Linked DNA regions of Mus musculus: region 2 is reported to be linked to region 1. The links are microRNA targets in miRTarBase. Many come from high-throughput screens and were not tested one by one. Region 1 holds a microRNA gene; the other region holds the end of a gene's coding sequence.

Region 1 (7,166 bases):
TCTATTATGCCTCCTAGAAAGAGGTAGCCTAAAGGAAGGGGTCTGATAAGAGACTGGGAGTCCAGAGGACACTAGGCCCAGGTCCTTCATATAGGTTGTGACTCTCATGTTTCACATTTAAAAGCTAGCAGGTCAGGACTGTGAAGTGGACTTTCAAGTTTTCCCTAAATCTAGGCTTGTAGATATGGAGGGCAAAGACATGGATGCGAAGAAGCAAGGTCTCATCTTGGGGATTCAGTTACTCCCACTGAATCTCCTATTTTATTCTAAGACTTTCTCTCATTTACCCAACTCCTTTCAATTGTTCTTAGCATCAATGGGGCAACCTGAGAGACTTGAGGAAACTGGGAGTCACTGCTGGAAAGGGAGGAAGAAAGCCCAGTTCTAGCTGACTATTCTGTATTCACCTTACACCCCCAACAGATTCCAGTGGGCACAGGAGAGGAGTCCCCTGAAGGGGGATGGGCAAACCTCTATCACCTCAAACCTGGGCAACTGAGAAAACAGCCAAGCTAGCACTGTGGGAAGGACAGACAAACAGATAGGTTAGAGTCATCCTCCTCCCTCCCCCTACCGCGTGTCTCCCTTTTAATGATTTAAATTCCCTCCGGTTCAATCCACACCGTCAAGTTCGGATTAAATTTAAAACAGGCTTTCTTCTGTGCCCCCAGCGGGCCATCCCGGCCGCCGCAGGCAGAGAGCCCGCTCTCTGCTCCTCAGCACCCTCCCTGAACCGAGGAGGCCCTACTCCGTTTGCTTTCATTTTCCTTCTCCCCCTGAAATGGGCTCATTTCGTCCCTCCGCTGCCCTCTCGCCTTCCCCGCCCCCCTCCCTGGTTCCCTTCTAGTTCCCCCCCCATCTCTCCTGATCCCTCTTTGTTGGGAAAAACACACCCACACACAACTCCTCCTAGCTAAGGCCTGAGCTGGAAGCAGAAACTGAGTTCTCCTGCTTGCTGCGAGGAGAACTGCGTGCTACCCCCACCCAAGGTGGGTATCTGGGATCCCTGCCACCACACCAAGAGCCAGGCCCCCAAGCTCCGCAAGCGTGAAACCCCCAGGGCCTGTGAACGTGGCCCTCTCAACGCCATGGCCTGCCCGGCCTGCCTTTGCGCCGGCGCCCCCGCCCTGCCGCTCCGCAGCAAACGGGGTTATTTCCGGCTCCCCCAACACAGTCTGTTTTTCCAGCCTGGGGAGTGACTGGAGAGGTAGCCTCCCCAGAACCAGGGTTGCCCTGTGCTCTGATTCAATGGCTCTGAGCGCGTTGTTACCTGATCTTTTGTGTGATGTATGTATCGCAAGGAAATTTGCAGTGACTTTGGAGCCCAGACTGAGGAAGCGGAGGTGGCGAAAGGAGAGACAATAAGGGCTCGAAGTACAATTAAGGAGCCACAGCCGCGGGTCCCTCCCCGCCCTCCCTAACCGACTGGAGCTGTCTAGCTTCAAACATCAGGGCGACCCGCGAACCTAGAACCGGAAAACTCAGCCTGTGACCAAGGAGCCAAAGGACTACACATCCAGAAAAGAGGAAGAATGCTCCCTCCCAACCTGGGTTGTCGTAGCCAGCCCTGCCGAGTTTCAGAGAATCCAATGAATGAAAGTACACATTCCGACGACGAATTTTTCTGAGCCTTTGGAAGGAGTGCCCGGGTTTGGGAAGTCTCAGACAGACAGGCAAGCGGCGTCTCCCAATGCAGACAGACCACAACATGAGTGTGAGACTGAAATCATACACAGGTTGAACATCCCGAGGCCTCCTTTCCAGGCCTGGTGGGCGCCGATCTCCCTACCTTCTCTCCCGCCAGAACCTTAAGCAGAGGCCCGGAAGACTTGGTACCTTGGGCTTGGTGCAATACCGCCTCAGAAAGCCTCCTTTACCTGCTTCTTGGCTCCCCACGGCCACAGAGGCAGGGCAGCAGCCTCCCGCCCAGGGAGGGAAGCCCTGGCCACCGCAGCCGCCGCCACCCGCCCTCCTTCCCTCCCTCCCTCCTTCGCCCTCCCTCCCTCCCTCGCACGCTGCCGCTCGCGGGGCCCTCCCGCGGACAACCTGCTCTGGACCATATCCAGGTATCTCCGAAAGGAAAAAAAAAAGAAAAGAAAGAAAGAAAAGAAAAAAAGAACTGCGTATACGGGGAGGTGGGAACACATAACTGCATTTATTTTCATGCTCTAATCATTGGTTCGACCCTAGTTTAGTCTTCCCGGACACAGCCCATCAGCCGCAGAGATGTGCGGGGCCTACAGCCTCGCCCAAGCTGACCGCCGCGCCCCGCGCACAACACACTCCCTCAATACCCCTGGTTGCCGCGCCCCCGGCAGCCCAAACACCCAACAGACCTCAAGGTCCTTCCTACAGACTCAACATCCGGTTGCCTGGCTCGCCGCTGACCACAGACCAGGAGTCCACTCTACTCAGTCTGTGGTCGATGTTCACACACAATCCACCTTGTCCCTGCTCTTGTGCCCTGCCCGGACACCCTTCGGAGTCCAGCCATCCGCTGAGCTACACTTGGGCTAACCTCGTCCCCAGCAAGGACCCACACAAAGCTCTGTGCGCTAGTCTTCCCATTTATACTTCCCCTATCCCCGTTTGCCGCCTTCACGTCACCTGTTCTCAAGAAGGGCTGCATCTTCCAGCAAGTGAGCCGAAGCAAGGCCGACTGCTGGGGTGAGGTCCCAGAGAGACCACAGCGGATTAGCTGGGCTGAGCCTAAGCCCCCACTGCCGGCGAGACATCTCAGAGATCAGGGCTCTCCTTGGCGAGCTCTTGCCTTTTCCTCCTTCTCCCGCAAGTCTCAAACACGCGCCGAGAGTTCAGCTCTATAAATCCTGCTCCCCTTCCCCATATCATAATTAAAAAAAACCAGTAGGGGAGGTTTTAACTTTTATTGCGATTTCTAGAGTTGGGCTGCGGAGCATATATTAAGTTTACGCTTATGTGCTCTCGGCGGGGAGGGTCCTTTAAGAAATAAAAATCCATCTTAATATCCTCAGATGAGAGAGATAATTTTTTCCCTCCTTTTCACGCTGTTCCTTCTGAACACTCCCTTCCAGCGAAGCGAATAAATAATTACCATCGCCTTAGCCATGATCCACAGTCCCAGGGCCCCCAGGGTGGACTCTGACCATCAGACTGGTCCTCACCTTGGCCCTATGAGACCTTGCTCCACTTCTCCAGATCTAGGGAGAAGACTGCCCTGACCCCTGACTCTGTGGCCACCTCCTTTAAATCCATCATCTTTGAAATGGAAATAGGGGCAAAGTGACTCAAGGCACAGAAGCCCTGTATTGATAAATTTCGGTTCATCAGGGCCATTTCTCTAAGCCAAGAGCTCTTGAACACCTTGCTCCAGCCTGAGGCTCCCCTTACCCAAACTGGCTGTGTGCCTCAGAGACTCTGAAGTTAGAGACTATATGGGCTCCCAAACCAGGGGATTCCCTTATACATATCTTCCTTCACCAACTGGCCCGTCTTTCTGGAAACCTCCTCATTTCCCTGGGAGCCATAGAGATTTAAATACTTTTCTTCACACAAAGGGATGGAGAACAGCTAGGACCGACAATTCAGCTGGGAAGGGGGGGGTCTATTCACATCTTCTTTTCCAATATCCACAGAAGTCAAAATGAATTTCACACACACACACACACACACACACACACACACACACACACACACACACACACACACACAGAGAGAGAGAGAGAGAGAGAGAGAGAGAGAGAGAGAGATTTCAAAAAACCTAGAAAGGACAGATAGAAACAGAGACCTATACACTTGTCATGAATTTAAAGTCACATTCTTTTCTTCTAAGACACCATGTTGAGAATACAAAATTTTTCATGATAATTTGTTAAGAGACATGGTTGTATTCCCTGCTTTCATAATCATAATTACAAAAGAGCCCCAAGAATCTGGCCTCCTTTAGGTTTCTCCTTTTCAGAGTCTCTGAGAACAGATCCTATGCCTGTTTCCCCTTTTCCCTGATCATCCCCCCATTTTTTCCTCTGAAGACCAGAAAACCTTTTCTGAGATCCTCACTTGACAAACCAAGTCCAGAATTAAGAAAGCCGAAGGGAACAGAGTGGAGGAGGTCTGTAAAGTTTCTCATTGCTCAGATCTCCCTCTGTCCCATTCTTCTCCCCTCCGCCCCCTACCATCAGCCAACAGCCTTCTCAACAATATGGTAACGGTGGGCGCTGGCAGCGTCTGTTTACCCAGACATTTCCACAGAACACAAGGACAGGCAAATGCCTAGCAGTCTCAGACAGGCAAATATACAGACCAAGGCCTACGGATAACAGACAAGACAGACCAGAGCTGGGCTTTTGCCCTCAACAGGGTGTGTTGAAGGAGGTTTCGACTTGGACTTGGTGTTTCTCCACTAATGTACTCACTTCCTATATCCATCCTTTCCCTGGAGATGGAGCTATGGAGGGAAGAAGAGGCTACTGTTCTCAGAGTTCCCTAACTCTTTGAACACCAACACCCTCACTTTCCAAAGGAGCACTGCTCTCTCCTTAGAGGTAACAGGGAGAGACTTCAGAGATTCCCTCCTCTTTCTAGGAGCTTTTCTGTCCTTTCATGACTGCCCCACCCTGTTCCTCAACTAAGCTGGCCCAACAGGCCAAACTCAAACTCCTGCATTTCCTTGGAATTGGCTGGACCTTCTTTGTCTGTCTTTATCAGCTGGGCACAGGAGACAATAGCTACGGGAGTGAGGAGGGGGGAGAAACCCTTTCCCTCCATTCCAAAGATTGGGACAGGCTGAGGGGGAGATGGTTGTAAAGCAGGGCTGTCCAGAATTTGTCCCATGGCCCCACTCACAGCCTGACCTCCTCAGTCTGCACCTATTTTGCCCTTTCTGGGATGGGTGGTGGGGCAGTCCCACAAGGGAAGGAAGGGTTAGGGGAGGTGGATTGGGGCCCTCGACGAAAACCGACTGATGTAACTCAGGCAGTTTCTTGTTGCCGAGTTCAAAACTCAATCCCAACAACATGAAACTACCTAAGCCACAGATCAGCTGAGCAAGCAGGGCCGGAGTTTAGGGCTTTGCATCTATCCAAAGAAGAAGGGAAGGGGCTTGGGGAAGGAAGAAATTCAGCCCGGTCCCCCTTCAGCCCTACAACCTCCCTGAGGACTAGAGAGTGGACTTTGGGTGGCTGGGTGGGTTGAGGGTCTGATAGTCTCCCGTTAGTTTCTGGTATAAGCAAGTTGCATTGGGAAAATCTGGTGAAAAGGAACCTCTAGCCGCCAAATCCCTGCCCCACCCCCAGTACTGCAGTAGAGCTATCCCCCTGCATCTGGCCCTGGCCCTGGGGGGAGCTGGATCGTTCTTCCACTCTTGAGCTGGGTCCCCTGTCTTATCCATCTGGCTCTCCTCTACTCTTCTCCCAGACTCAGTGTCTAAGGATTCTCAACAAACATGGGTGTCTAGACCACAGCGCCTGTGCTCAGGAGCCACTTACAGTCGGGCCACTTGTCTGGCAAATCCCTACAGCTTGGGAACACGAAGACCAAGAACATGGACAAGGCTCACACCCACACCAGCAAAACGCAAGAAAACCCAAGCTTCAAGCTCCAACCCTTCTACCTTACAACCAGACAGAGACACCTAAGCTGATGGGTGGATCTCTAGACGCCCCTAAGTGCCATCAAAGATAAAGAAGCCAAAACCACCAATTTACCCCCTTTAACCACCGAACCCCACGGCGGTAGTGGACCAGGGAGGGGAGGAGAGGGAGCTCATAGCCGCTGCCCTCCACTGCTGGCGGCCACAAGGAAAATCCGGGTCTCTCAGAAAACACAGACGCCCAAAACACCTTCCTCCGTGCTCTACGCGCTGCTCTCCGGGCACCTGGGAACGCTGCTAGTCCTCAGTCGACCGCCAAGAGAAGAACAAGAAACCGATTCTCTTACCTTGTCGCTGCCTCCTCCTTCTCTTGCTGCCGCTGGCGCTTCTGTAAGCTGCTGTCGAGGGCGGGGGCTTAACTCCTCGTGCCCCTCCGGCAGTTAAGTTTATTCCTCTGTTTAGATGGGTGGGGGTTCCTGAGGTACCCCCCCAGCAGTGGTGGGGTGCATCCAGCCCCAGTACCGAAGGCAATCAGATCCGTCTGCTCCTCAAGATTGCAGTTTGCTCTCTGCCTCTTTCCCTCCTCCAGTCACCTTTAAATGCATCTTTTACTGCAGTACCACATTATATTTGCAGATCATAAAATCCACCTCTCGCGCGCACCAAGACCGTCCTGACATTACTGTTTTATGACCTTGACTTATTGTGGTCACCTGGATAATATTTAAATCAACGTTATGGTCTCTCACTTACATTAAACCCGCCAAGAGACATTCTGGAAAGGCTGTAGGAGATGAGTCAAACACAAAACACACACATATCCACACACTCAGTGTTTTGGGGGAGGGGGTGCCGCTAAAAAAAAAAGCGCCACTAAAAACAAAACAAAAAAAAAACCCATCCATTTGAGGATTAAGATTCCGGAAATTTATTAGGATTTTTTTTCTCCATTAAGGAAGCTACATGCAAAAGATACAACATACAGAATATCTTTAAATAACACAACTCCCAGACAGGAGCAGGACAACTTGGAGGGGGGGTTGTTTTTACTTTGCTATGCTCTATTTTTAATTTTTTTTTTGTTCTTCTGGATGGAATTTCTGAGATGAGAGAGATATAGTGTGTTGGGAAGGGTGGGAGAAAAGCAGAAAGCAGTACAAATACTTCAAGCATATTCTCAGAGCCATTGGGAGGGAAAGACAGAGAGAGGGAGGGTTTAGTCTAGACACTGGGTACTATGACAAACACACAAATACTAGCTGAACTTTCAAGACTACCTATTATTCTAAGGGGGGAAATGCAGCAAGGAAGGAGCAATGCTAACTGTGCTCTACAAGGTTACAGACCCTCTCTGTTTGATTATCCCCCTTTCTTTCCCCTCTAATCGGGTGCATTTGACCTCAACTTTGCATGGAGAACAGAATGCTGTATGTGAGTGCATGGGTGACTGAAGAGTTGACACACACACCGGCCACACTACCACCCCATCTATGAGGGCACACACAACACCCCAAAACCCATCACCCCATTTCATGCTTTAGGTGGAAGCATCCTCGAAGCACGAACCATAGGTCCCTTGGAAGAAGAGTCTGAGGTC
Region 2 (7,166 bases), not on the chromosome of region 1:
TCTCTGTCTCTCTCTCTCTCTCACACACACACACACACACAGAGGAGAATACATGAATGAATGACTATCAGAGCTCTAATAAAACATCATTCATATACTAGGCATGGTATATGAGCAATAGTCTGATTCTTGCTTTGCTTGAATACATAACATAACTTAGATGAATTTAAAGAAATATTTGTTTATTATTTGATTTTAGGCATCCCAGCTGTAACGGCGCAGCCAGAGAAAGGTAGGTTTGGAAGGGAAAGAATATTTAGATATTTCTTAGAATCAATACGATAGAAGGTAGGCATGTGACAGTATCTGTCCTCTGTGTTTCTTTGTCTTTCTCCAGGACTAAGCCACAGCATCGTTCCTGTCACAGTAACGCTGACGTTGATAATAGCCCTGGGCATTTTCATGCTTTGCTTCTGGATATATAAGCAGAAAAGTGACATCTTCCAGAGACTCACGGGGTCTCGGGGTTCTTACTACCCCACACTCAACTTCAGCACAGCACATTTAGAAGAGAACATTCTCATTTCTGATCTTGAGAAGAACACCAATGATGAAGAAGTTAGAGATGCTCCAGCTACAGAGAGCAAAAGAGGCCACAAAGGGCGTCCTATCTGCATTTCCCCTTAACGAGATGCCGTTATAGTGTGAATTGCGCCTCTGTTTTAATTAATCTTCAAGCACTGGTTTTGAATCTTAACCAAATCAGATGGGATTTAACGTATTCATTTCCTTTAACTGTGGCCCATTCTGAAAAGGCCCATTATTTTAAAAGACAAGAACTATTAAATAGAATTCTCAGGCCAGTCTGGTAAGCATTCAGTGTGTAGGTACACTCGATACATTAAGAGAAAGGGGGCGTGTCCTCTCACTCCATATGACAGGATGGTACTTCTGCCAGTCAGTGCTTGTTTGATTCTAAATCAACCATTTTTAAATGGTGTGGTTTGGGAAAATCCTAAATTTTAGACTTCAGGTTCTGAGCTCTCAACTAATACTTTGAATGACAAAGTTATATTAGATCTGATTCTCAAGTTAAGTGGGAGAAATACCACCTTCTCCTACATATGAAGAACTCAGTAGGCAGGCACTCTCAAGAACAACCATACAGTTTAAACTGTGCCATAAACCCTCACCTGTTAATTGATTACCTTGATTTAAAGATATCTTTTAGGTAAGTTTAAAGAAATGCATTGAGAGTTTAATATTGTCAAAGTTCATGGGCCTTACTTATTAAAAACTAAAATCTAAAATTATAAAATACTATATAACAATCTTTTGTTATTGTTCTGTTCTGTTTTGTTTTCAAGACACAGCTTCTTTGTATAAACAGTCCTGGCGGTCCTAGAATTCACTTTGTATGCCAGACTAGCCTCAAACCCTCTGCCTCCCAAGTGCTGGGATTAAAGGTGTGTGCCACCACTACCTGGCAATATGTAATCTAACCAGGGCTTACAGAATAGATGTAACTCAAACTTAAAGAGAAAAAAAAGTGAAGATCTGAATTGTGCTCCCATTAGAACCAAACTAAACAAGATGTTGAAAAAATACTGAATAAAACAACCCTGGAGAAGGTGTTTTAAAATAAACTGTCCATTCTGACCATCTCCTTTTAGTCTTGGATTAGTTGATGCCATTGGTTGGTTAATGAGGATTAAGAGTATGATATTTGGGGCCAGGAGACAGTTCAGTTGGTAAAGTATCTGCTGTGCCATCTTGAGGACCTGAGTTCAAATCCCCAGTACCCACATAAAGACTAAGTGCAGTGGTGCACATCTGCAACCCCAGCTCTGGGGTGGGTATGGGACAAAACCAGGCGAATCCCAGAAGCTCTTTCACCAGCCAGTCTCGCCAAGCTGATGAATTTCAGGTTCAGTGACAGACTTTATCTCAAAAACTATCATGGGAAAAGACACCTAATGTCAGACTTTAGCCTCAGTATGCCCACACATATATGTGCATGCACACACACACACATTAAAATTTTAAAGTATATTTCCTGTGTATTAAAAGGTCACAGGTTTGATATTCTGTCATTAATTTATGATAAATAAAAGTGTCTCCATAATCAAGAGTAAGAGGTTACTTGCCGTCTGAGTGTTTACTGGGTGTCTTTATTAAGATAGATCTTCTGTTCTAGCACAGTCCTGGGGTGAACCAGTCAGGGTGGCTTCTATGCTCATGACACGTTATTCCCAGGGAAGCAATCTATACACAGACGACAGGAGGTAGCTATGAAAATTAAGTATGGTCCCTGGGATAAACATGGGCACTCTCAGGCTTGCCTCCTTGTGTATTTCTGCCAGTACAATCCATGGCCCTGGTGCTACCTGCCACTCGTCACTAGGGGGCGCTCTGAGAAAAAGTATGAATGTGTTCTGCACAGCAAACTGGGATCCTTATCAGTACAACCTGAAGACTAGAGTCCCTGTAGACTATTACAACGACTACAGCTCCCGGTCACAGCTCTTTGCTACTGCTGTTATGTGGCTGACACACTGGGACACTTGACTCTCATTTTGTTTTCCAAGTCATAGGACTTAACTTTTAAAAGAACATTATATTAGGTAGCAGTTATATATTTATGACTCAAAAGAACTAACCGGATGGTATAAAGACTCAATTTAAAAAACTCTCAAGTGAAATTAAATTTCCTTTTATTTTGGTGGATTTGATGAAGCTGTGGTCAATTAGCCTCCCAGTAAAAGTATAAAATCACACATAACAAGTGGACAAAAGTATGCCCTTGCAGCCGTGGCCTTGCTGAAAGAGATGAGATTGCTGTCAAGGCTCTGTTTTGAAATCCTGTGTTGAGCCTTCCCTGAAGCCTGTCCCCATGAACCAATTTGCACTTGTTCCCACTGCTGAAATTTCAGAAACATAGAGTACTAAGGGACTCGCTTTTTTCACATATGAACCCTTTAAAATCCTTTTCATAGATCTCTTCTTCTTTCATTAATTTAAAAATATTTTTCATACAGTATATCTTGACCATATTCCTTCTCCTCTCAGACCTTCCCCATCTCCTTCCCCACCTGACTTCATATTCTCTCTATTTCTCAACAACAGTACAATTAAAATAAACTAACAAAATAATAAGACCAAAAAAAAAAAAAACTAAACAAAACAAAAATCACACACATAAAGCAACCCTTGGCATTCATTTTGTGTTGGCCAACTGGTTGATATACCCAGTATCACTCCAACGGAGAAAATTGATTGCCCTTCTCCCAGCAGGTATCAATTGTAAATAGCTTCTTGGTTAGGAGTGGAATGCACATTTATTTTTAATCAGAATTTGATTTCTTATTTATTTACTGTGCATTCGTGTTTTGCCTGTATGTATGTCTCTATATAAAGGTGCCAGATCCCCTGGAACTGGAGTTTGAGGCAGTTGTGGGCTCTCATGTGGGTGCTGGGACTTGAACCCACGTCCTCTAGAGAAGCCCCAGAACTTAATTTCATAACTACAGCATAAAAAAAACATAGGATTAAAAATTCACTCATGATTAATATTCATCCCTTTAAAATATATTATTTTCCTGAAGGGTCTTTGACCATGGGTTGATCAAAAATTTACTAGACCTTGGGACCATTAAAAATTAAAATATCTATATATGTAAGTTTTTCCCCTGTGACTGACCTGAGTATCTTTAGATACTCCCAAGAATTGGAAAGTCTTGGATTTTTTTCAGTTAATAACATCTTGAGTTCTTCCTATTCTAAGAGCCATTCAGGTTTGATTGTCATCGAAAGCTCCACACCTGAATGGTCTCTTTAGATGACTGTTTAGTCTTGAAGTCTCTTTACCTCTTTAAAATGGCCAAATTAATATATAGTTAACGTCTGGATATCCAGAACAAACACAACCAAAGGAATGACGTATATAATTACCTTTACATTGTGGCTAAATCCATTTGAAGTAATTTTTTTATAGTGATTCACAGTTGATACTGGAGTGGATCAGAAGAGGCAAGAGACTCTGGATTCCTCATCATGTCTACCATTCAAATATTAATTGACATAAACAATTTCAGTTTAACACCTGTATCATGCCATGTGTTGTATGACCAACAAAATCAACATGTGCGTTCATAATTTGAGGCATAAAAATAACTGCACACCTGACAAAGACAGAGGCGGATGCTCGCAGCCAACCATCGGACTGAGCTCGGGGTTTCCCGGTGGAGAAGTTGCAGAAGGGACTGAAGGGGGTTTGCAGCCCCATGAGGGGAGCAACACTGTCAACAGGCCAGACCCCACCCCCAGTCCTCCTGGGGAATAGACCACCAACCAAAGAGTACACATGGAAGGACCCATGGCTCCAGCCACATATGTGGCAGAGGATGGCCTTGTCAGACATCAGTGTGAAGAGAGACCCTGGGGCCTTGATGCCCCAGGGTAGGGGAATGCCAGGGTGGGAAGATGGGAGTGGGTAGGTGGATGGGGGAGCACCCTCATAGAGGCAGAGGGAAGGGGGAAAGGATAGGGGGTTTCCGAAGGGGAGACCAGGAAAGGGGAAAACATTTGAAATTGAAATAAAGCAAACATCCAATTAAAAAAAAAAAATAACAGCACACGTTCTAAGAAACTAGGGGTAACTGAAAACTAGAGCCTTTAAAAATTCTGTGTGTTTTGGAAGTATGGGTTCAGCTGCTGATAGCTCTCTCAGCCCCAATGGAATTCCGAGGATCCTGGAGGGTGATTTTCCAGACTGCACAGCATTTATAATTTCATGTCTGGTCTTAACAGTTCAACATAAGACAACCGAAATTCAGTCTTGTTAACTCTTTATGTTGTGAAGCACTGTCAAGCTGTTTGCATGTGGTTTTACAAAAGATTCAGGCTCAAAGAAAAGGCCAATACTGCAGGCATACCTGTAAATAAATATCTAGACTGTGTGCTTCATTTCATTATTTTGTTTTGTTTTGTTTGTTTGTTTGTTTGTTTGTTTGTTTGTTTTTCGAGACAGGGTTTCTCTGCATAGCCCTGGCTGTCCTGGAACTCACTCTGTAGACCAGGCTGGCCTCAAACTCAGAAATCCGCCTGCCTCTGCCTCCCGAGTGCTGGGATTAAAGGTGTGCGCCACCATGACCGGCGGTTCATCTCATTATTGTTACTACATCTTCAGTGTTTTTAAAGAAGAGCCAACAAAAGTGCCCAAACATGAAGCGCTGGGTAAAGTAGAGAGAATCTGCATACGCCTCTAATTCCTGATGAAGGTTCTAATTGCAGAAGAGAATATCTCACGAAAGCCAGAAACTGAGCCCCCACGTGTGACAGTGACCTTCTCTACTCAGAGTTAATTAACATGAGCACTTGCTTCTTGCAGGGCACTTCGCTATAATTTAGAACAAATTAAGGGGAAAAAAAAATCACTCAAGTGCTGTTTTTCTTCCCACTGTGAAGTGAGCATGATGGACCAAATTTAATGCATCTAAAATGCTATCATCCGTTTCCGGGATTGATGAAAAGCAATGAATTCCAATATCGCTTTTTAAAAAGAATCCCAATCTGTGTTTCTTCTAATGTTTCCTATTAATGATCAATGAGTTTGAAGATTAATAAATGTCTTTTCCACTGCACCCATTAAGTCTCCTATCTACATTTGACTCACTGTATGCGCTCCTGGATATTTTTAAATAGATAAATCTTAAATTTAATGTGACAACCAGTTAAAGAATCACTTTTGTTTCCTCTTGCCTCTTCCCCAGCCCTGAAATTACAGCTTTATTGTTGTTTGTGCCTGGCCTGGAGCTCCTCTCTTTGTCTCTCACCTGATGAGGGCATGGCCCCAGTGGCTGTCTGAACTTTAACTTCTTAGTGCGTAGGGCTTTGTGGGAGCTGGAAATCTAAGTCATAGATATGATTAGCTCTCTTAGTTAATTAATCAATTAGTTAATGCTTAATTAATGGTTAGCCCTCTTTCCCAGTAGACCCTGGAACCTGCCAGGGGATGTGTGGAACGAAAGGAAAAACATGGGAAGAGACTCACAGAACTCAGTCAGCGGGGAGTGAGCTCTGGCTGCTAGAGTCACACTTCGATTGGGGCTGGGGAAAAACTGATTGGCCTGGAGCAAGCCTAGATGGGCAGTGTTTATCCAAGCCACCCCCACAGGGAGTGCTTAAGCAAGATGCCTCTGATCTGGCTCTCACTCCATTCTGGATGGCGGCTCAAAAGGAACAACAAAACTCCTATAGTCTCCGCCCACTGACCAGGAGTTTATGGGATGGAGAAGCTATCGCCTCCGACTATAGGGAGGGATCCAAGAGCTTTGAGAAAATGGGACCAATGGTGGACGCTCTCTGGCACTGGCATTGGATCTTATACTAAACTTCCCAAAAGAAGAGCAGGAACAGAAAACATATAGAGAAAGAAGATAGCCCCCAACAGCATGTTAATGGTAAATGAATGTTTCAGACTAATCCATAGCTTGTTTCTGCTCCCATGGAGGGCAGCCATTGAACTTTTCACGTGTGCTATTATTACTCACACTGCATGTAATGCAGTAATACCTGACTCAGTTGGGACCTCAAAGAACCTCCTTTTAAATCAGTTGTAAGAAGGGGTCATGGGGGCTGGAGAGATGGCTCAATGGTTAAGAGCACCGACTGCTCTTCCGAAGGTCCTGAGTTCAAATCCCAGCAACCACATGGTGGCTCACAACCATCCCTAGTGAGATCTGATGCCCTCTTCTGGTGCATCTGAAGACAGCTACAGTGTACTTATGTATAATAATAAATAAAACTTTTATATATATATAAAGAACATTGGTAGATACACTCTTAGCTTATACATGTATTTTCTATTAGAACACGCCCAGATGTGTTCACTCATCTTTTGGCTAAGGACAGCACCAATCAGTAGACTATTCTTTGCAGTTGGTCTAATCAGGTTTGCTCCATAAGCATCTGCTTCACTGTCACTAGCAGGTAAAAAAATTTACTGATGCTCGCGGACCTGTTTGAGCACCTTCAAAATCTCTGCAGTTTTCTCCCATATCTGAGATTCTCTTGCTCAATGACAGAATGTTTATTCATATTTTTGTTTCACAAAGCCGTTTTTGTAGTTTTTATATAAGAACTCCTGTAGCCCCATTTTACGTTTCAAAATAAATCATACGTAATTCGCAGAGCCTGGTACATCTGGCGTAAGTGGGTTGGTGAAC

Evidence for each region. Region 1 holds the annotated microRNA mmu-miR-196a-5p (UAGGUAGUUUCAUGUUGUUGGG, at 4,986-5,007, opposite strand). A microRNA usually pairs through its seed, bases 2 to 8, with sites in the 3' UTR of a target mRNA and lowers its output. Matches are read on the target gene's strand: a 7mer-m8 pairs with bases 2 to 8, a 7mer-A1 pairs with bases 2 to 7 and ends in A, and an 8mer does both.
Region 2: the mRNA of Pla2r1 is a reported target of mmu-miR-196a-5p. Seed matches in the 3' UTR shown: 7mer-m8 at 1,419-1,425.

Annotation. Positions count from the first base shown.
Region 1 is chr15:102,971,206-102,978,371 of GRCm38, reverse strand. Mir196a-2 (microRNA 196a-2) reads right to left here and starts at 5,022; the gene lies at 4,938-5,022. Hoxc10 (homeobox C10) reads right to left here. Exons shown (of 2, transcript NM_010462.5): 2 at 6,474-7,166. It overlaps Hoxc9 (homeobox C9), which reads right to left and starts at 1,340. Exons shown (of 3, transcript NM_008272.3): 1 at 1,271-1,340.
Region 2 is chr2:60,413,474-60,420,639 of GRCm38, reverse strand. Pla2r1 (phospholipase A2 receptor 1) reads left to right here. Exons shown (of 30, transcript NM_008867.2): 29 at 200-232; 30 at 338-3,097. The coding sequence ends at 627. Among named protein-coding and RNA genes, the nearest start is that of Gm13580, 5.5 kb to the right of the region's middle.